4 linked regions of the Cricetulus griseus genome follow. The protein of the gene in region 3 interacts with the protein of the main gene of each other region in a pairwise test. Links are inferred from orthologs where the notes say so. Each region holds a gene or a part of one and is shown on either strand. Other genes may lie near its edges. The genes, in order: Ca8, Nek6, Hsd17b14 and Mpg.

Region 1 (5,461 bases), on a different chromosome or scaffold from region 3:
GGGAAGGAAGGACGATTCGGTGCCTTTGAATGTCCTGAGACAGGACCTATCATGTGTCAGAGTTAAAAGTGAATTCCTGTTAGGTAACTTTAAAAATAAATACCCAAAAATACAGTAACTCCAGGAGAAAACATTGTTCTATAAAGGAAACAGAATATAGTCTTGAGCAGAAATGGCAGGTGCAAGGTCATAGCAATAATGTTTTGAGTATTAATTTTACTAACTGCATAATTTAGGCATGTGGGGCAAAACCAGGACAGGAGAGGCTTTTAAGACCGCCTCCCCTTCCACAGCAGGGAGCCCGGAGAGCTCTTAAACATCAGAATAACATACACATGTTATTAGGAAATAAAGAGAAGCCATTTAAAAAGGTTCAGCCCCAAAAACAAACATCTAAGTACATACAGACTGAGAAGATTGTACTTATATATTTAGGAATATATATGTACATAAATTTACATATATGTATATAACAGCAATTAATGAAAAGTGGTCATGAGTTTGAAAAAGAGCAAGAAAAGGTATATGTGAGGGTTTGGAGAAAGGAAAGGGAAATGATGAAATTATATTATGACTTCAGCAAACAAAAAATAATTCTTAGAGATTCAAAGTAGTTGTTGCTAGAGAAAAACAAGTTGTAGGAGGAGTGAGATAGGCTGTAGCTAGAGGTAGAGAAAATAAAGAAATAGCCAACTATTCAAATTATGTCTGTATTCCATTTTGATAAAGAAAATACTTCCTTAAATAAATAATGGTGTTCAGAGTTTACAGAAGCTGAAATATCCTAAAAAAGGTAATAAACTACTCAAGACATTGTTTTTTTCAGTTACTTGTCTTTTTTAGATAAGTGTCCACTATGTAGATCAGACTAGCCTGTACTCACAGAGATCAACCTTCCTCTGCTTCTGGAGGGCTGGAATTAAAGGTGTGTGCCACCATGCACACCACCAATTAACTTTTAAGTTTGCTGAAATATTGAAAAGGAGAAATTACTGCAGTGACAGAAAGAGAACAGAGCATGTGAGGGAGGAAAGTCCCAGAGGACTGGAGGACAAAACCTGGAGCAGGACAGAAATACAGGTGGTTCTTCCTACCACTCAGGAGTGGAAGTCAGAGGAGGAAAAGGACAAAGGAGTATACCAAGTATATGGTAATGTAAAATATACCATAGCCAGAGGTAAACATCTCCAAGACATAGGAGGAACTTAGGAAGAAATATACTAACTCTATACAAAACACAGACTGTGCTTCAGGAGCCATCACAACCTTGATTAAACTTACAACAGCCTCAAAGAATACATGTTCTATCTCACAGATTTCAAATAAAGTGCCGAAACATGATAAGTTAAAGGAAGAAATCCGTACCTTCCTTGCCTAATGTCAGACCTAAAGGTTTTATGATTTAAAATACCTACCCTATCAATCTGAAGTTAACGTAAGCACAGCCTATTAAAGCTCACATCAACATCCAACATACTCTAATGTTCCATTCTTTCCAGGAGGAAAACGGTCATTATCCCCCTGAAAAACACAATGTTAATGCTTGTTTTTTTAATCTGCTTTCATCTCTCCTACAATTAAGCTGAAAACCAATTTCCCTGGAAATTTAATTTTTCCACAAACCATTTCAGATCCATTTCAACTAGGTTCACGAAGAAGGGTGTGTAAAACTAAACAAAACCAAGAGCTAGGTTTCCATTTAAATATCTGGCTAAGCTTCCATTTAAATATCCAGCTAGGTTTCCATTTAAATATCTGGCTGGGTTGAACTGTTATTAAAATCATTCTTGACATTAATAGAGAAGGGAAATTTAATTTGAAAAGTTTATCTTGAACATGAACAACATCAATAAATTCTGATCTTTGGTTTCACAAACCAGAAAAACGAAGAATTATAATTAAATGATTTCAGCTAATCAATAATTTTGAACAAGATGCACAGAAAAAAAAAAAACTCAAATAAACATGCCTGTGTATGTACTGCTTTCCCCACAGTTCGGTAAATGTTTGTTCAAGCAACAGAGGCGGCTCCAGGCACAGCTTTGGGAGAACAGCCAGCTGAGACAGCCATCACTTCACCCTCTTAGCCCTTCACAGCTATTTCAGAATATAATTCCCAGAAAATGCATCTTGTAAAGAACTATGAAGATAGAAATTGCATCGGTGCCCCCTTTAAGACCCTGTAAGTTAAATCAGAGATTGTCCACTTGCTCACAAAAGCGCAGAAACACACTTTCCAAAATACCTGATTTTGACTTTAGGATAACTTGAATGGTGTGTCCATCGTTGGTGACTTCACAGTCCCTGCAGACCACGTAATTCGGAGACAGACGGACATCCAGCAGCGACGGATCGTACCTAGCTTCTCTGGAATTTAGGTTGATAGGAGACTGGTACTCCCCGTTGGCATCGGGAAACACCAAGCCCCACTCAACACCTGAGGAGAAAATAACAAAAATTGAGAATAGGTTTTGTTTAAGTTAGCAACAATAAAATATAACATAAAAACTCATAATCCTTGATATTATAGCTATGACTACCATCTATATATAAATGAAATATGAGAAATGTGTATGGGTTTTTACATTCATTATGTGAGTGATCTGTTTATATTTATAATACCACACACGAAATTCTTTACTGTGTGTTTATATCTGTGCACACAGATGCCTTGATTTTAGGGATTTGGGAAACGTAAGTCATTTTTAAGTGATCAGAAAAAACGCCACAAGAATTTCCTCTGCTCATCAGTTCAATTACATGCAATACTTAGAAAATATCTGCAATGTTCAACATGCTCAGAGACAGCAGAAACCCTGTGGTGCTGAGTAGCAACACTTGTTTAAAAAGCAAATACAGTATCCCATGCACATGTTTATGGACTCCTTTGCGCTTTTTTCCCTCTGTATACAGTAAACATGGGCACTAATGTCTATTAGGAGTCCTGGGCTTCCGGGACAGATTTAGGAAACTCCTTTTAAAGTCTCCAAGAACACTGACCCAGCTTGAATTCGGGACGCATTTGGCGCATTTGGTTGTACTTCTCAAGACTAGGAAGCAACTAGGTTTGCTCCGGGCTGGGCTGCCTGAGAGCAGCAGGTGCGAACTGCGGACGGGCAGCCTCGGAGAGGAAGGCGCCGGACCGCGCCGGGCAGAGAAGCAGCGACAGCAGCCCCAGGAACCTACCTTCCTCGTAGCCCCACTCCACGCCCTCCTCCTCCTCCTCCTCGTCTTCCTCCTTCTCGGGGAAGGCAACTGCATCCTCGATGAAGCTCAGGTCAGCCATGGGCAGCTGTGCGGCACGGGTGCGGCAGGCGCGGGGCTGGGGGCCGCGCGGAGCGTGGCAGTCCCCGCGAGCGCGAGCAGCGGCGGCTTGGACTCAGGCTGGCGCGTTTTAAGGCCGGTGGGGGCGTGTCTGGCCTGAAGACCCGCCCCCTACTAACACCCTCCCTCCTCCCCCCCCCAACAGAGCCGCCAGCAGAAAGCCGAGCTGGGGTGGCTGCACCCCAGGAAGCCTGCTGCGCCCAAGCGCGACCCCAGGACCCGCCTGGCCCGGGCGCCTCACCTTGCTCCAGGCAATGTCCTGAAATGAGCGGATGGGTGGCCTTGGCATGGGAAGGGCATTGAAGACCGAGAACTCAATAAGACTGTGGTCAAAGGGTTTATTCCCCATCATTTACCCGTTAGTTTTGTTGGGGCTTGATTTTGTAAGACAGGGTCTCAAGGAGACCAGGCTGGCTTCAAACTCCTCCCTGTGGAGAAAGGAATGACCTTGAACTTCGTAAACACTGGGGTTGCAAGAATGCACCACCACAGCCTGGGTCGCTGTCCTGTGAGCTGGTTTTACTTTTTAATTCGTCCTTAGAGCACAGTGAAAATGTGCATAGCATTTTTTCCCTCAAGAAACTCCTACAAACATTTCAGGAAAAGAAAAGGACGAATTTAGCATCAAGAAGTAGGTATACTTTGGGAGGTCTTTACTAAATGTATTTCAAAGACAAGGAAACAGGGTGTTTGATTCCACTTTCTAAGTCCGGGGTGCTGCTTCAGACTCACCTTACTGCGTACACTGCTCCCAAGCAACTCGTGAAATCGTGCAAATAATGAAATGCACACATTACGAAACAAACAGGAACTTTCCCTGATCCAAAGAGGTCAAGTCGTTACCTCTGGAACATGTTTCCCAACCCCAGGCTAATGCTTCATCTCTGTGTTCCAGCCCTGTTCAGTAACCCCTAAGCTTCTGTTCTCCACATTTTAGGAGATATATTTGTATGATAAGCTCGGCTGCAGGCCTGGCGTACAATTTACCTTTTATATATCCTGTGCACACTCCAAAATGTCTGTGAGCAGATTAATGGACTGTGGTTCCTAGATCGTTACATCTTTATGCATGCTAGTTCCTCAAACAGGATGGAGATGATTAATTGGGGGACTTTGAGATGCTGGATTCCTATCCTTCACTGCCTGCTGGAACCTTAACTTTAAAAATCACATCACCATCTGTTAGATACGTCTTCAGAAAGTGGATGGAGGCTAAGGAGAAAAAAAATCAGGAGTTGGCCTACTTGACACTTTCTGAAAAGTGAAAATTGTTGACCAACTTCAGCACCAACAAAACCTATGGATTTCAAGCATATGCCATTTCTTTTCTCTATTACAGAGGCTGCAAACTGACTTCCCCATCCAGAAGAAAAAAATAATCAGACACTAAATTCACCCTGAATTCTCAGCCTTTCCACATATTTAGTGGCATTTTATCTGCTACTTAATAAGCCCCAGAGCCCACTCACCCATAAGCACTGACAAAAAGCATCCACCATTTTCTACTGTTGTTCATCTAAAAGGAATTTTGCATTTCTTTTTCACTTTACTTTCAAATCTTTTCACAAGACTGGATTTGTTTAGAGTTTCTTGTATATACTTTCACATTAATGAAATGCCATAGCTTATGAAGTCCACACAAAGACTATATAGGATGTCTATAACAAAATCCCTGGTCCATTCCAAACTCATCATTGATATTCCCCTGTGCCTCCCAAATGGGCATAGATGTGACATTGTGGCCCATTGTGTGACCACTAATTACATTTAAAGTACAAAATCAAATGACAGCCGACTCTCCTTGGCAGGTAAGTTTGTCATAAGTAAATAGTGTGCATATTTACAAGAGATAGGCTGAAAGTTTGTGTTGTTAATATTAAAGTTTGCAGCTAATAGGTACTGCTATTCAAAAAATGGGGCTGCTTATGAGACAGGCACTTGTTTGGCCCATATTTGTTCTTTCCGGATTTTCAACCTCTTTTGTATAATGTAACTCCTGTAAGCAAGTAAGCAGTACCTCCAGCTACATATGAGCTGTTCTGCTCTGCAACCAAATTTTCAATTACCATCCTTAATTGCTTTGAGACTGTGCACTTCACACACTGCTAATTACCAACACCTTAAGACCTCTGCACAG
Region 2 (4,838 bases), about 4.6 Mb from region 3:
TCATGAGTTAGGGCTGTGTTGCCTTTGGCTGGAGACTAAACTTCTCTGAGCTTTGCTGAGGACGGCATAGGCTCAGTGGCTTAACATTTCTGTGGCTGATGGTGGCACTCTCTCAATGGAGAGTGTCCCTGCCATGTCCCTGAAACCAGACCCACAGTAGTTCCCCTTGTGAGTTCTGAGAGGGGAAGAGACAGTTTATGGAATGTGAAAGAGCACGGCCCTGAGCTTCACAGGCACACAGTTGCTCAGGCTCTCACAGACCTGGCATGAAATCCTCACTATGTGGTAATAAATACACCTGTCCAAAGGCTGGGTTGTGGAGACAATGACCTCTGACCAATTCCAGACCAGGTACACAGTATGAGCTCCCACACAGTATTCTCAGACAAGCCAACCTTTCTGGACCTCAGTTTCCCCTACTATAGAATGTGGTAGCTGGAGCCATAGGACATGTCACTTAAAGACTCTATGGGGCCACTGCACATTTTGAATTAAGAATCTGTGGTTCTGTTCAGCTGGGGCTGAAAAATTGGCTGTGATTAACAAGAGACTGGACCACTAAAGCGAAACCTCTACTTTGCTGGACTAATTGATGCTGGTCAGCTGGAGCTGAGAACTTGGAGATGATAGAGGAGACCAGCATCACTGAGGTGAAATCCCCTGAGACGTTTTTCCTGAGTCAGCACACAGAAGCTGTGTTCAGAGGCGGCCAAAGTTGCACCTTGTGCTGGCAGCTAAACTTGGTAGTGGAAGAATCACTGGGGCAGGCGGGGGGGGGGTGTTGAAGAAATGCTGGGGACATGGAGAGCAGCTGAGACTTGGCACTGTGAGAGCCCAGGAGAGGCTACTGGTGAAAAGTGCCGCCCACCTGCACCAGAAGACTCCACTGTTTGAGATGCCAGTACCATGGGATGACCACCAAGAACAGCAGCAGAGGTGGAGTGGAGCCTCCCTGAACTTGGAAGACAAGCTGTGTGTGCTGCAGAGGACTGAGCTGGACAAGTGACACAAACCCTTTGAAAGAACCCAGAAGAGCGTGAGTGGACACTGCACTATTTACTCAGCTGGAGCTTGGTTTTGCTTTGTTCACATTGTCACTGTGCCCTATTCTTCCCCCCTAAAGTAAGGAAATACTTAACTTATTTTTTATTTTACAGGACCCCACAGCTGAAAGACTTTGAATTTTTAAAACGGACTTGGAATTTTTAAAGAGCCTGAATTTTAATGTTTTTGAATTTGTAGAGGACTGGGGGACTTTTTAAGTTTGTAAAATATTGTGATGTTGATATTAGTGTGTGATCTTGGGGAAAAAACAAGAAAGGGAAGATTGTGGCTCAACAGTGATGTGCTTGTGTGTCAAGCTGATAAGGGGTCGATTGTGCTGAATAGTTTTATGGCAACTTGATACAATCTATAGTCATCTGAGGAGGGAGTCTCATTTAAGAAATGACTCCATAAAATCAGGCTGTAAGCAAGCCTTCAGGGCATTTTCTTAATTAGTGATTGATGGGGGAGGGTCTAGCCATGTGTGGATGGTGCTATCCTCTAGGCAGGTGGTCCTGGGGGCCATAAGGAAGCCAGATGAGTAAGCCAGAGGAACAAGCCAGTAAGCAGCACCCATCCATAGCCTCTGCATCAGCTCCTGCCTCCAGTTCCTGCTCTGAGTTCCTATCCTGGCTTCCTTTGATGGAGAGGTGTAAGCAAAATAAATCCCCTTCCTCTCCAAGTTGCTTTAGTGATGGTGTTTCATCACAGTAATAGTAACTTAAGACAGAAATTGGAGTCTGATCTTTAGAGGTTCCTGTTCCTTCTGAAGAGAAAAGTGTCCTCATGTGCTCTGAGCTAGAGCAGTGTGGTTGGTCCAAAGGGTCCCTTATGTGTACCATAGCCCTTACCCAGTCATCATCCTGTCTAGGCATCAGTCTACCTTGCTTTGTGTGCCCCAAGGAGCCTGACAGCACATAGGAGGTCAGAACCAGGCCAAGGCTGTTGCTGGGACGTGGAGAAGTGCCATTCAGGTTGAGAGAAGGGTGCTCTGACCTTGATCATCTGTGAGAGGTCGCCTGCATCAGCCAACTCCAGAACAATGTTCAGCTCATTGTCTTCAATGAATGAGTCCAGGTACTTGATGATGTTTGGATGGTTCAGTTGCTGTACCAGAAAGGGGGGGGGGGGAGTCACATCAGTGATGAGTGGCATGGCTGCAGTGCCTGCCCTGCACACATTCCCCTAAGACACCTCCAGTGCAGCATCAGGCCAGCTTCTGCCCAGGAGTGTTCACAGAAACATTCCTGCTCTTTTGTTCTTTCTCAATGTCTCAGCCATCCCTTAGAAACTAAGAATCCTTTCTACCCTAAGAACCCTTAACTTACACTCCTAGTGTAGGTTCCTGCCTCTGGTCTCCATGGTGAGGAAGTGAGTGGAGGCCAGGCAGGGTGGTAAAAATCAGCTCTACCTCACAGAGAGGACCCTGGTGGTGACACTATACCTACATGGCTACTGGGTCTAGGGAAGCAAAAGAAGACTCCAACACTGCTACAACGTGGTTGATACTGCTCATCTATCAGTGGACAGCCAGGGTCTGACTGACAGCATGTTTACCGAGGCTCCAGCAGCCTTTGAGCTCAGCTGGACTGGGCCAGAAGGAAAGGCTGCCCTCAAGCCTAATGTGAATTCCTGAGGGCAGGGGTCTGAGTGGATATGGCTTGTGCAAAGGCCCTATGGTAGGTACATCCCAGAGGCTGAACAGAGAACAGAGTGACAAAGCAGGTGGCGCTAGGAGCCTAGAGGAGTGGGCATGGGGTAAGGTGGGGTTACGGACCAGATGCCCTGGAGCTCTGAAAACACTGAACCCGATTAGGCCCTGGGTTATTTACTTATCACTACTGATCTGTCAGCTCATATATGCATAAGACCTTTGTCAATGAAGTGATGAGGTTGCTGATGCTGTCTCCTGGCTGTGACTTGCATTTTCATCTCTGTATGGTAGCCACAGACATAGATGATTCTGGCCTTTTGTGGCTAATGCCCTTGATATTTGGGGACAACTCTGTGTGCTCCAGCTATGATAAGTCGCTGTAGTTTTCTCCTACAAACTTTTGATTATAGCCTTAGCTTGTGTTTTGCTCAGTCCTTGGGGATCTCATTCTGTACATCAGCCCAGAATGGCTTGGTATTCACTATGTAACCCAGGCTGGCCTTTAACTCCAGGTGATTCTTCTGCCTTAGCCTCCTCTGTGTTGCAGGCTATATAATTACAGGTGGATGATACCATACCTGGCTTAGCTTTAACTTTCAAATCTTCTCACAGACTACAGAAATGTTCCTCAATTTAGTTTTTCATTTTATTTTTGACTAATCCATTTCACAAGCATGTATGTGGTGTGACGCAGGGTTTACAGCTTCTTCTTTCTCATCGGCAAGTCCGCTTTCCCAGCACCCTGTTCCAACTCTCCTCTGTCCTACTGAATTGTTTTGAGAATGTTGGGAACTAACACCAGCTTTGGTTGCCATCAGAGAACATTACAATTTCTGTTCATTATTAGTGTGTGTGTGTGTGTGTGTGTGTGTGTGTGTGTGTGTGTGTGTGTGTGTGAGTGAGTGATGTGCATGCCATGCACCTGTGTAGCAATCACAGGATGATGTCAAGTCAGTTCTCCCATCTTTACATGGGCTCTGGGGACTTGCTCAGGTGGCTTGCATGCCAAGTGCTTTACTCACTGAGCTGTCTTTGCTGGCCTCTCCTTATTTTTTGAGACAGGATGTCTTACTGATTACTAGCTTGCTTAATTGGACTGGATTATCTGGCCAGTGAGCCTCAGAAGCCCTAGGGTCTACACCTCAGCACTAGGCTAGAGTGTGCAATACCTACCTTGCTTGGCTTTTTAAAGAAACCAAACAAACAAATGTGGAGGCTGGGGGAGGGGGCTCACACCTTTGATTGCATCACTCCTGACGCAGAGGCAGATGGATTTCTGTGAGTTCAAGGCCGGCCTGGTCTACAGAGTGAGTTCTAGGACAGCCAGGGCTATGTAGAGAAACTCTGTCTTAACAAAAAGCAACAACAAAAAATTGGTTCTAGGGATTGAATTCCTATACTCATGCTTCTGAGGCAATCACTCTACCAACAGAGCTGGGTCCCCAGGCCTGTGTTGTTTTGTTTCCATAGTCCTCTCAAACCTGTCAGGGAGGTCTTCCTGCTATTTACAAGATGGCTAAACAGAGGCTGGTGGAGGTTAAGTCACTTGTGAAAGTTAAGTCACACAGCTTGAAAAGGAAGACAATAGTACTGTAACCCAACACTTTCTTCTTCTTCTAGCCTCCAGCTTGGGGTCCAAGTCCAGTCTGGAAGTTCTATCTGTGGCTCTGGGGAAATCAATATGGGATCACTGGGAAGAAGACAGGGACAACTGCAAACAAACCCGATGCTCCATGTGTGCTGTCCGGATACGCCCAGGTTGTCTGACCCGTAGAAACCTAGAGAGCTGGCCCAATCAAGACTGGCCTGATCCAGGCCACTCACCTTTAGAAGACCAATTTCCTTGACACAGTCCTGCCTTGCTTTGGCATCCATCATCTCAAAGATCTAGGGCAAGAGGAAGCCAGAAATGGAAGTTAAAACCAGTGCCTGTAGACTGGATTCGACCCTCTGCTCAGCCTGCTCATTGTTAAGACCTCAGAAGAAGCACAGTCCCAACTCTCAGCAACAGCCAAGTCAGCCAAGTCAGAGACCATGCTGTCAAGTTCACTTGTGTCCCATAATGCCTACCACACAGAGCAGGGACTGAGGACCACTGAGCCTTGCTGAGGTCACACCCTGACTAGTGGTATGTCACTCC
Region 3 (5,555 bases):
GGCAAAGAGCTAGGCTACAAGGCAAGGAAGGAGACTGCAGGCGGTGAATGCCATGGCAGTCTCTGCAGAGCAGACATGCTGGCCTACACCTGCCATCCCAGGACCAAATCACTCATATCTCCTCTCCTCGATATGGAGTATCAATTTCCCTGCACTCCCCACAACAGTGTTTGGTTACGTGGCCTGTGTTGAATAAACATCAGCCTAAAAAAAGAAGGACACAGATGACAATGAGGTCCCTGCAAGTCTGAATCCCTACCAAGATGTGAATGAAGAAAAAAGAGGCTAAGACAAGGAGAGCCTCCCTGGCCAGGGGACAATCCTCTGCACCTCCATCTTTGAGGGGACTCTGGAAGGCCTGGGTGCTCTCTGAGCCTTAGTTTCTATGGGGACATATTGTCTTTTTATTTTATTTTTTTTTAGATTTATTATGTATACGGTGTTTTGCCTGCATATATGCCTGCACACCAGAAGAGGGCACAGGATCTCATTACAGATGGTTGTGAGCCACCATACAGTTGCTGGGAATTGAACTCAGAAGAGCAGCCAGTGTTCTTAACCTCTGAGTCATCTCCAGGCCCCTAGGAGACACATTGTCTTAAAGTGCACCTGTTGGGCTAATGGAAACCTTCCAGAGTGCCACACCACCCAGAGTCTGATGAAGTGTGCCTGGATGTCCTTATCACCAGCAAGATCCTGGGCCTTCAGCAAAGTAGGAGCTACCCAAAGTGTGACTTCCTTTAGAGACTACAGCACCCCCAATGAAAAAGGTGATTCTTTTTTTTTTTTTTTTTTCTTTTTTTCTCCGAGACTCTGTTTCTGGACCTATTCCCTTTAGAAGCTAAGGTCTCGAACTCACAGAGACAGAGAGAGATCCACTCTGCCTCCCTAGTGCTGGACTAAAGGCATGTGCCACCACCACCCTGCAGCTGTGATAATTCTTATTTCAAAGATGGAAACTGAGTCACGGAGATGGGGAGCACATAGCCTAGGAAAGAAGCTCAGGCTAGAGCTATGTATTAGGATGGGGGAGGATGGAGAGATGACTGCAGTTATGAGCACGCTCAGGCTGCTCTTCCAGAGGACCCAGGTTCAATTCCCAGCACCCACATGGCAGCTCACAACTGTCTGTAACTCCAGTTCCAGGGGATCCAACTGCTTCTTCTGGCCTCTGTGGGCACCAAATATGTAAGTGGTGAACAGACATACATGCAAATAAAAATACGTGCACGTGCACGTGCACGTGCACACACACACACACACACACACACACACACACACACACCACGAAGGCTGTGGCCTGAGAAGGGAGTAAACTGAGGTTCAGAGGAAGGGTTGAGATGCCTCAAATGTAAAGGCACTTGCCACCAAGCCTGAGAACCTGAGCGCAACCCCACATGGTACAAGGAGAAAGCTAATCCCCTCCAGTTGTACTCTGAACACCACACAAGTACTGTATGCCGGTGTGCAGATAAATGTAATCATCTCTAAGGGGAAGGAATAGGGAATAGGTTGTAAGTTGACATCAGGGGACACTAGGCCCCAAGCCACACAACTTACGGTAGCCAGCATTATTCACCACACAATCCAGGTGGCCAAATCGAGAGAGGGTCTCAGAAATCAGAGCCTGAGGAGAGAACAAACAGCAGGTGATGAGCAGTGAGGTGGCAGCCTTGGAAAAGCCAAAGCAAGGACAGGCTCAGTTGTGGAAGACAAGGTAGGGGGAGGGAGGAGAGGCTCAGGGTCACAGCGCAGGTCTAGAAAGAGGAGAGAAGGCAGGAAGCTGGGGGCCCAGACCAGAGACCTAAGCACCCACGTTGCTATTTGTCATAGTTAGGGTTTATGGCTGTGACCCAACACCAGGAGCGAAAGCAATCTGGCGAGGAAAGGGTTTATTTCTGCTTACAACTCTCAGGTTACACGCCATCACTGAGGGGAGTCAGCACAGGAACTGAAGCAGAGACCATGGAGGAACACTGCTCATGGCTTGCTCCCTGTGGCTTGTTCAGCCCCCTTTCTGCCGCTATGTGATGTCACAACCCCCAGGGGGCTGGGGGCTGGGGGCTGGGCCCTCCCACATCAACTACTAATTAAGAAAATGCACCACAGCCCGTTTGGTGGGGCCATATTCTCTGTTGAGTCCCCTCTTCCCAAGTGACTCTAGCTTGTGTCAAGTGACCAGCACCGCCATAGAAGATGAATGCGAGGGCAGAAGACTGAGTCCGGGAAGAAGCGACGATAGATCCAGAGGGGGCGGGGAGCAGACAGGCAGAGGCAGGGACACAGAGACAGGGCACAGACTGGGGACAGACCTGGGGACACAGAACTGATTCTGAGCGCAGGGGAATCAGAAATGACAACAGAGGGTGTGGATTTCAAGTTCTGCTTGATCTAAAGAATGGAGCGAGAAGGGGCAGATGGACTGTGCTCACTGAGCTGACCCAGGGCACGGAGAAGGGGGAGTGCACTGGGAACGCCCACCTGCAAATCTCCTTCCTGAGTCACATCACAGGGGACGAAGACAGTGCCCAAGAGTTCCTGCTCCAGAGCCCGGCCCCTCACCTCTGCAAGAGAAAGACTCGGGTCTGAGGGAGGGAGCTGAGGCTTGGATCAGAGTCTGGGGAGGAGCTTGGACTCCTGAGTCTGGGGTCTGAGGGAGCAGGGCTGGCCTTGGATCCCTGCGATGACGGAAGGAAGGCATAGTTGAGGACTGACTTACCATCCTTGTCGCAGAAAACAACTTGAGCCCCACTGTCCACTGCCAACAGAGAGAGGAGAGAGAGAGAGAGAGAGAGAGAGAGAGAGAGAGAGAGAGAGAGAGAGAGAGAGAGAGAGAGAGAGAGAGAGAGAGAGTGAGTTATGGACCCTGCAGACTCGGGGCGAGCCTCTGCTGCCTCTTGTGACACGGAGAGCACCTGGCTCTCGGCAGCTCTCGTGACTGCCTCGGGACAGGCCTCTCAAAGGGCAGAATTTCCCTTCCTCTGCTCCACCGCCATCCTAGGTTCCAGAAAAATCCCAAACCTAACATTCCTCAAAGCTATCGTTTGTAGCTAGGGACCCATCAAGGGAAGAACTCTTTTTGGCTTTTCGAGAGGGTTTCTCTGTGCAGCCCTGCCTGTCCGGGAACTCTCTGTGTAGACCAGGCGGGCCTCCAACTCAAAGATCCACCTGCCTCTGCCTCCTGGCCAGGCAAAGAACTCTTCATAAAAGTCTTATCGGCACCAGCAGAAGCCATCACTACACCAGCTTACCCAACAGTCCAAACCGCCTCATGTAAGAATGAGACTGAGGGCCGCAGAGATGGCTAAGTGGCGAAGAGCACTGGCTGCTCTTCCAGAGGACTCGGGTTCAATTCCCAGCACCCACACGCTCACAACTGTAACTCCAGTTCCAGGCGATCCAACACCCTCACACAAACGCAAAACAATGCACAGAAAAAAAAATAAGAATAGACAAATCACTAAGGAATGAATAAATCATTTTAAAAAGAGTGAAACCAGGTCTCTCCCTCCCACTCCGTGAATCTGTCACCCCACCCCACCCTTTCCCACATTCAGACATCGGGCAGGAAGACCCTGACTCACCGAAGGCTCTGACGATCCCAGCCCCAATGCCTCGACCACCCCCGGTCACCACCACCACTTTCCCGGAGTATCGGTTTACAGCTGCCATTCCCAGGTGACTTGTCTTGTCTCCCACGCCCTCGCCCTCCCGGCCTCTTTCGACCTCCAAAGTCCAGGAAAGCAGTGGGATGGAACCAGACAGGCTGGGTCCTTGTAGGCTGGCCCTGGAGGGGTGTTCCCGGGAGGGCCACACACCTGCGAACCTGCCTCAGACCTGGAGGTTGAGTCCTAGCTTCTCTTTCTCAAACGCTGGGGTCCCCACCCTGACACTCCTCCTTCAGACTCAGGGTCCTGGCCCCAGCCCGCCCCCATCACGTTGACTCTAACCCTGTTCCTGAGACCCATAAGATCAGCACCTCTTCCTCTGACCTAGAAAAACAGGCTCTCCAGCCTCCTTCCCCAGACACAATATATCTGGCTCCCAACTTCCTCATACTGTTAATCACTACCACAATTTGATCCAAATTTGGAGCAAGCTTGTCTGCCTTGTTTTTATTGGGATTCACTCAAGAGCTGGCCAGTGACTGCCTGCTAAATCAGGTTAAAGAGAGCAGCCCCGAATCCACCTCTTGGACCTCTTTTAAGAAGTAAAATCACAAGTAGTTTTACAGAAGGGAGAGAATGGGACAATAAGAAAATACAAAAAAAAAAAAAACTTAAAAAGTCATGAGGTCACCCATCATGTGATTAGGGAGGTGTCAGGGAGGGGTCAAGGAGAGCCAGGGTATTCTCAAAAACAAATCAAGGTCAGATTCCAAAAAACAGAGAGCAGCTCAACTCTCACAGTAAATAGAAACTTATTTATTTTTTATTCTTTTTGGATTTTCCAGACAGGCTTTCTTGCCCTGCAGAAACTTATTTTTTTAAAAAACTGCATAATGGAGTCAGACCGGTTCCTCGTTCCCCCTTGACTTGTGTTTCCCTGTCAAGTCCATGATGGGGGTTGTCTTAATAATATTCTCAAGCAGCAGTGATTCTAACATTGTTTATCTGACAAGTGATCAAGTTAGTGACACACTGGAGGGCACAGGGCCAGATTATGATAACAAGTATAACAAGTAGAAGTTGGGCGTTGGTGGTGCACACCTTTAATCCCAGCACTCGGGAAGCAGAGGTAGGTGGATCTCTGTGAGTTCAAGGCCAGCCTGGTCTACAAGACAAGAAAGGCTCCAAAGCACAGAGAAACCCTGTCTCAAAAACCTCCCTCCACCCCAAAATCGAAAAAACAAACAAAAAGCCAAAAAAAAAAAAAAGAGATAAAAAGTAGAAGTAATATTACAGGGCCAGTGAAGGGGGAGAACCATCTTAGCCATATTGGCCAGGCCAAGTTTATTTGAGAGACTCTGTCTGTTTCTTTACTTAGGTCACCAGTTTGGTTGTCAATAGTGTTATTCTTTTGTTTAAAAAGAAGAGAAGAGAAATGCTTAGACATGAGACATATTGACTATAAGTTTATTATAAGGCCCGGCAGAATGGGGAGACTAAGAGAAGAAGAACAGGGTAATGGCTGACCGCCATGGCCTGTCGCCATAGAGAGAGCGCATAGGTGAGAGAGAGAGTAGAAAGGAAGCTGAGAGGAAACAGAGCGGGGGGGGGGGGACGGGGGGACGGGGGAGGGGGACGGGGACAGAGAGAGTAAAGGGGCAGGGGTCTGTCTTTTAAAGGGGTCCTCTGCACCTGCGTGCAGACTTACAGGGTACTGCCTGTTCCACCAGGTTCAGCATAATGCCTGAACCTTTCAAATAGTATGAGAGAAGCCGGAGATTTTAAGACAGCACATTGTAGGAAGCTGCTGACAGCCAGCACTGTCTGAGTGACAGGTAATCTATGGTAGCGCTGTGCTGAAAAACGGTTGTTCTCAGTTCTCCCACTTGTTGATTATCTCCTGCTGACCCTGTGGATATTTTTGCTGTAATATTAGCAGTTTCTGAA
Region 4 (5,592 bases), on a different chromosome or scaffold from region 3:
GAGCAGCTTCATCTTCTGGCCCCAAGTATGCCTCAGTCTCTACAATGCGTCCACGGAGTTCTGTTCCATCAGCAAGTCGCCGGACAAGGACCTGTGGGCAGTGAGTCTGCTCAGACCATAGGAAAGGGGGTCAACCAAGCTGAAAAATCCCCACCTAGACCTCCTCTCTTAAGCTCAGGATGTACCAGGAACCCAAGCCCAGAGAGACCCAGCCACCTGGTTCCTCCATTCTGCCTCTTCTTTTGCTCCTGCTCAGAGCCTGAATGCTGATATTAAGGTCACCACCCCTTCTTGACCAACTATAGTTGTTGTTGTTCACTAAGGGTTCTGACCACATCTTGAGAATTTACTTGTATTCACTGTGCAGGTTGACCTCAAATTCCCCTCAGTGGCGTTCTTGGCTTTCCCACATCCTCTTCCCACCGTTCCCTTGAGAGCCTTAAATGTTCAGTGGCCCCAAGGGGTCCCTACACATTTCCTGGGATATTCAGATTCTGTGATGTGCTTGTTAAACTAGGATAGCCACAAAGGATCTACACTGAGACTGCCTACTAGTGCTGACCTTAATGAGAAACAGGACCAGCGGGGCCAGCTCATGTAGTGCCTAGCCTGGTCCATGATCCTAAGAATGGCCAGCTGTCTTAACTAGGGCTCATGGAAGGATTTCAGCATCCAGCCATGTCAACAGCACCTCACATCCTTAGGTTTGAGGGGTTATTTGGTCAGAAGGCACCTTCATCTCAGTCCAGGTTGACCCATGGTGCCTCAGGGTCAATGTAACAGGCAGAGTGGAGGAAAAGAAGGGGTCAGTGCTTGTCTTGGAAGCCTGGAAATCCTTTCTAGAACCCAAAACACTGAAGACAGGAATGAATGTTTTGGAAGGAGAAAAAGGTCAGGGAGTGTTCCTTCACTAACTATACTTGCATGCTCCCATATCTCCAAGGGGCACACTGGGGCACCCCAGCTGAGCTGGAGGGAGCTCCCAGGACTTTTCTGGTGGAGGGCCTGGGAAGGCAACACGATCCTCAGTCCACAGCCGTTTGCTGTCCCAGCAACTCACTACAGTGAATCTTTACTGAGCTTGTGACCCACACCTGGGTTTTCCTTGACCAAAGGAATGCACAGGCTAAAAAATACCCCTTTTCCTGCCAGACATCATCTTGTCTACCAATATGGGCTCAAGCAGGCATGACAGGGAGCCCAGCCCGTTGACATATCCAGGATGCTGAACAGAGGCAGATGTATGGTGGTGGTGACCATCCTTGGGCTCTTGACCTAAACCTAACGTAAAAAAAAAACCATGTTGTTTGTCATAATCATAGATGTTGATTATTATGGGGCTTTTAGAAAGAACACATCCTTGACAACAGAATTAAGTCCCTTCTGTTCAGGGTCTGTTCCTGTTAACATGGAACTCTTAGCACCAGTTCTTCCATTAGAGAAACCGGATGTCCTTGGCCATGCTACCCTAAAGGGAAGCTTGTTAGGAGAAAAAGGTGGGCCAGGAAACCTCCTAAAACCAGCTCTGGCACCTAGGAATAGTGGGTGCTGTAAACGAACACGGCCAGCTCCATCATGTGCATATATTATAGGCCACACCAGGTTGGGTCTGGGGTAGTCCCCACTTCCCACGCCAGGCATGCCTGGCCCAGCCCAGATCCTGGACCCATACTGAGCCATGCAGTGGAGACCAGCTCTTTTAAGTGATTCAGACACTGGCAACTTAATGGTATCCTTGGCCCCAGCCATTGGCAAAAGTGGCTCCTTAGAGATGCTGGGGCCAATACATAATACCATTATTGCCAGTGGCCCTGCTACCGCCACAAGGAACACCCCTATCAATATTCTTATTCTTTGCAGTGATCCTAGACAATAACCAAACTATCCGCGGCCAATGTGGACAAGATGGCTACCTGTGTGAGCACAACAAAGGCGAATCAGAGATGTGAACAAGTAGTGAGTGACAGGACTAGGGCTCCTGGAACCTGCACCTGCATTTATATTACCTGTCCCAGAAATGCACGGGCCAGGGTGACCGCTGGCTGGTCAAAAAACTCTGGTCCCAGCCGGGCAGGGTGATCCTCTGGACTGGAGAAGTAGATGCTCCGCTGTAGGCCCAGGGATGAGGGTGGCCTGTCTTTAGGGATCTGCTGCTGCTGTGATTCTGCTAGTTGCAGTTTTTTTTGTCCGATCTTTTGGGAAAGCTGTAGTAGGAAAAAAACAAAACCAAGTGTCTTCCCACTTGCCTGAGTATCTTTATCTGCAAAGTGGGGTGCCCATTGTGTGGGTCATTCCAGAGACATAAACAGAAGGCTATAGTTAATACAGCCTCAGGGGACCTTGGAACATGGTGTGGGTAATAATAGGTTGTTAGTGGTATCAGGGTGGGTGGGCATTCTCTGCCCACACCTGCTGTACATAGGAGAAACTTGGGTCATGGGCAAAAGGAGAGGTGGGTGCCTGAGTCTGATACATAAGAGCCAGTATTTTCTGCTTCCCATATATGACACCATCTCCAAGAAAACTTGTTTCTGGAACCTGGCTCTTTGCTCCTAATCCTGGCCAGGAATTAAAAGACAGTCAGAACCTGGGCAGGGCCTAGCAGAGAAACAGACTGAATTTGTCCTGTCATTGCTCAAAAGTATAGGTCACCAGGCCCTCTCAGTGTTGAACAGAAGACCTGACACATAAGTGGGTGCACAAGGGGACGACCACCTCCCTGGTCCCATTCTAAGTGCTTAGGGCCCCCAACTGACCTGACTGCTTGGGTATGAGAATAACTAGGAACTGGGACAAAAAGTCTATGGGTCAGTAAGACACAGCAGGCCTTAGTCTATCAAAAGCCGGGTAAACAAAGTAGGGAAATCTCACTACATCCTTCAACTATTGTGGTACAACAGAAGGGGGATGAAAGGGACAACTGGGCAGTGAACCTGGGGCCAGGGCCAAGACCTGTTTTCAGCCCAAACTGGGCTTCAGCTATAACCACGGCTCCGTGGCTGGTTAATGAGCGATTACTTTTTTTTTTTTAAAGGCAAGGTCCCATGTAGACCATGCTGGCATTGAACTCCCGATCCTCCTGCTTCCATCCACTTCCCAAGTACTGGAAATACAGGCGTGCGCCACCACGCTCGGATAAAGACCCATTATTTTTATCTGTTGTGCTGACGTCCAGGTTGGACCGAGGATGTCAGGCTGCCCGGAATGGATGCTGACGTGACCGTCTCTGCAGCCCGACCCACTGTGCCAGCTCGCCGTGGGCTCAGACTCCGCGACGCTGCGCCCCGTCTCACCGGCGCTGGCATCTGGCCCGCCTCACGGCATCCGGTCACTCGGGATCCTGCTCTGGCACGCCCTGGGCGGCGGGCTCGTCCAGGAAATAGAGGCTGGTTGGTGTCAGGAGGCAAGCTCACAGACATCGGTTTTAGAGACCCTCTGCCGAGGCGCGCACACACACCGGCCCGGCCACGGGCGCGCATCCAGCCGCCGACAGGATGCGCCGGGCCGCCGGAAGCGCGGGGAGGGAGGGGACAGGAGCCTGCTCCTGCGCAGAAGGCACGAAGCTCGGGGGTGGAGCGAAGAGGCGGAGCCTAGTTGGAGAGGCGAGGCTAGTGAGGGAACCTTCTTTACTTTCACCGCTTTGGCTGAAACCCACGTTTCCTAGTCCGGGGCTATCCTGCTGTCCCTACTGCTGTCAAGTCCCACCTCCCTGAACCTGGACTGAATTTCCGAGGGTCCCGGGCCAAAGGCCTTGCTCTGGGACGGGCTGGGTCACAGCGGGTGTGGTTGGTGCTGTGGAGAACAAACAAGGCCTTGGGAACCTCACACCGAACTCTGATCCTGGAACTCTCCTTCCCCAACCCTATGGGGGGCAGGGAGGTGGAACTGAACGGAAGTGGATGTCTGCCCCACCTGGAGGCGCCTCCTCGGTCATCACAGCTGATACGAGAAAGGAAAGGGAATCCTGCCTTGGCAGTAGACCCTTCACCTCCACCCCCACCCCCACCTGGAATTGTTGAGAAGAGGGCTCACCACTTAAGCTGAGCCAGCTTGTAGGGCAGGACCAAGGCTGCAGGGATCTGGGAATACCCATCTAACTGGATAACAGTTGCCCAGACAGCTGGAGAACCAGCATAGGACCAAACCAGGGCCCCTGAGCTTCGGTGACAGTTGGGAGGCCTAGGCAGTCTATGGGGCCTCTTGCGGTGGAACCAGTATTTATTCCTAGAGCACGAATGGGCTTTTGGAGTCCATTTCCCCGTGGAAGGATGCTCTCTCAGCTTAAATACACGGGGGAGGGCCTAGGCCCTGCCCCAAATGATGTGACAGACTTTGATGATTCCCCCATGGAAGGCCTCACTCTCCCTGGGGAGTGGATGGGGGGAGGGGAGTCGGTGGGGGACAGGGGAGGATGGAAGGGAGAGTGAACTGGGATTGATATGTAAAATAAGATTGTTTCTAATTTAAATAACAAAGTTAAAAAAATCCCCCAAACAGTTGCCCGGCACCTCTAATGATTGCCTCTCCAGGACCTAGGCCTGCTACCCACCCTATCTGTTGCCTCTCAAATGAGACTGTGCACCACTGGAGGACACTTGAGCCTCCAGTGGAAAATGACTGGCCCAGAGGAAGGAATGGTCAAGGGAAGGGAGGTCTTTGAGACAGAGTAAGGTGCTCCATGATCTAACTTGCTGCATCAGCTCCGTGGCAGCCCCCACACCCAGCACAGCCACTGTCTCACCCTCTTCTACTATCTGGGGAGGGGGGAATCTGGGTCTGAAGGGTTTCTTGGCAGACACAATCCTACCTTCCCCATTCACACTCTGCCCCTGCTTGCCAAAACCCTTGAGGGTTTGTCAGAGCTGTGTTTGAATTCCTTGACCCTAGCATGGAAGAGCAACTTGGGTGTGGGATGGGAGATGCTAGACAGGACAGAGGGACAGGCCACGTGTCTGTGACCAGCAGATGAGCAAGGCACTTAGCCCAAGGCTAGGCTATGCATCAGGATTCTGGTCCCCAAATGCTCTCCTCTGGCCAGCTCAGGCTGGGACTCAGCCATCCCCTCTCATGGGCCTCAACCAGGACTTCCTGGGGAGGGAGGGGCAGCCTCTCTGCCTGCCTGCTGCCTGTTGGAAGTCATCCAGCTGTTTGTGGCACTCTGTGCCGTTTCCGGGGGTGGGGTAGGGGCAATATGTTGTAAATTTGAACTAATGAGATTGGCCTGGATGTGGCTCCCACCCCCTTCCTCCTTATCCCCTACAGCCATTCCGTCCAAACAATGACTCTCCCTTCCTGTGGGAATAATGCCCCTTCCGAATCTAGGAGGGAAACTGAGACCCCCGTTGGGTTCTTGTCCCGATAGGAGGGAGAAGAAGAGGGCATTTTGAAGACTCCTAGAGAACTATCTCGTCCCTATCTTTGGGTGAATGAGAAGCTCCTCTGTTTGGTGGCCAGCCTGGCTTCTGCCTGAGGAGGAGATGGGAGTGGTTGCCAGCATCCTATTCTCCAGATGTTCTGGCCTGACTGTGGGATTGCATTGCGCAATGTCTGCCCCCTCCTCCCCACTTCCTGGTTTGTGGTGTGAAACTCCCA

Evidence for each region.
Region 1: the proteins of Hsd17b14 (region 3) and Ca8 interact in binary tests that used the Homo sapiens proteins (3 or more experiments, as listed by UniProt). The two-hybrid records come from large-scale screens. The link is inferred for Cricetulus griseus from reciprocal best matches to the Homo sapiens genes HSD17B14 and CA8.
Region 2: the proteins of Hsd17b14 (region 3) and Nek6 interact in binary tests that used the Homo sapiens proteins (3 or more experiments, as listed by UniProt). The two-hybrid records come from large-scale screens. The link is inferred for Cricetulus griseus from reciprocal best matches to the Homo sapiens genes HSD17B14 and NEK6.
Region 4: the proteins of Hsd17b14 (region 3) and Mpg interact in binary tests that used the Homo sapiens proteins (3 or more experiments, as listed by UniProt). The two-hybrid records come from large-scale screens. The link is inferred for Cricetulus griseus from reciprocal best matches to the Homo sapiens genes HSD17B14 and MPG.

The regions. Positions count from the first base shown.
Region 1 is NC_048595.1:152,452,392-152,457,852, reverse strand, and holds the start of Ca8 (carbonic anhydrase-related protein), read right to left. Parts: upstream 3,287-5,461; coding exon 3,187-3,286; intron 2,438-3,186; coding exon 2,246-2,437; intron 1-2,245. UniProt on the Homo sapiens protein: Does not have a carbonic anhydrase catalytic activity.
Region 2 is NC_048599.1:149,829,231-149,834,068, reverse strand, and holds part of Nek6 (serine/threonine-protein kinase Nek6), read right to left. Parts: intron 4,586-4,838; coding exon 4,523-4,585; intron 2,152-4,522; coding exon 2,041-2,151; intron 1-2,040. UniProt on the Homo sapiens protein: Protein kinase which plays an important role in mitotic cell cycle progression. Required for chromosome segregation at metaphase-anaphase transition, robust mitotic spindle formation and cytokinesis.
Region 3 is NC_048599.1:154,464,041-154,469,595, reverse strand, and holds the start of Hsd17b14 (17-beta-hydroxysteroid dehydrogenase 14), read right to left. Parts: upstream 3,673-5,555; coding exon 3,585-3,672; intron 2,759-3,584; coding exon 2,720-2,758; intron 2,565-2,719; coding exon 2,482-2,564; intron 1,628-2,481; coding exon 1,561-1,627; intron 1-1,560. UniProt on the Homo sapiens protein: Catalyzes the NAD(+)-dependent oxidation of L-fucose, yielding L-fucono-1,5-lactone, which rapidly converts spontaneously to L-fucone-1,4-lactone. Can also act on D-arabinose and L-galactose, with lower catalytic efficiency. Does not use NADPH.
Region 4 is NC_048600.1:46,003,827-46,009,418, forward strand, and holds the start of Mpg (DNA-3-methyladenine glycosylase), read right to left. Parts: upstream 3,537-5,592; 5' UTR 3,480-3,536; coding exon 3,294-3,479; intron 2,205-3,293; coding exon 2,007-2,204; intron 92-2,006; coding exon 1-91. UniProt on the Homo sapiens protein: Hydrolysis of the deoxyribose N-glycosidic bond to excise 3-methyladenine, and 7-methylguanine from the damaged DNA polymer formed by alkylation lesions.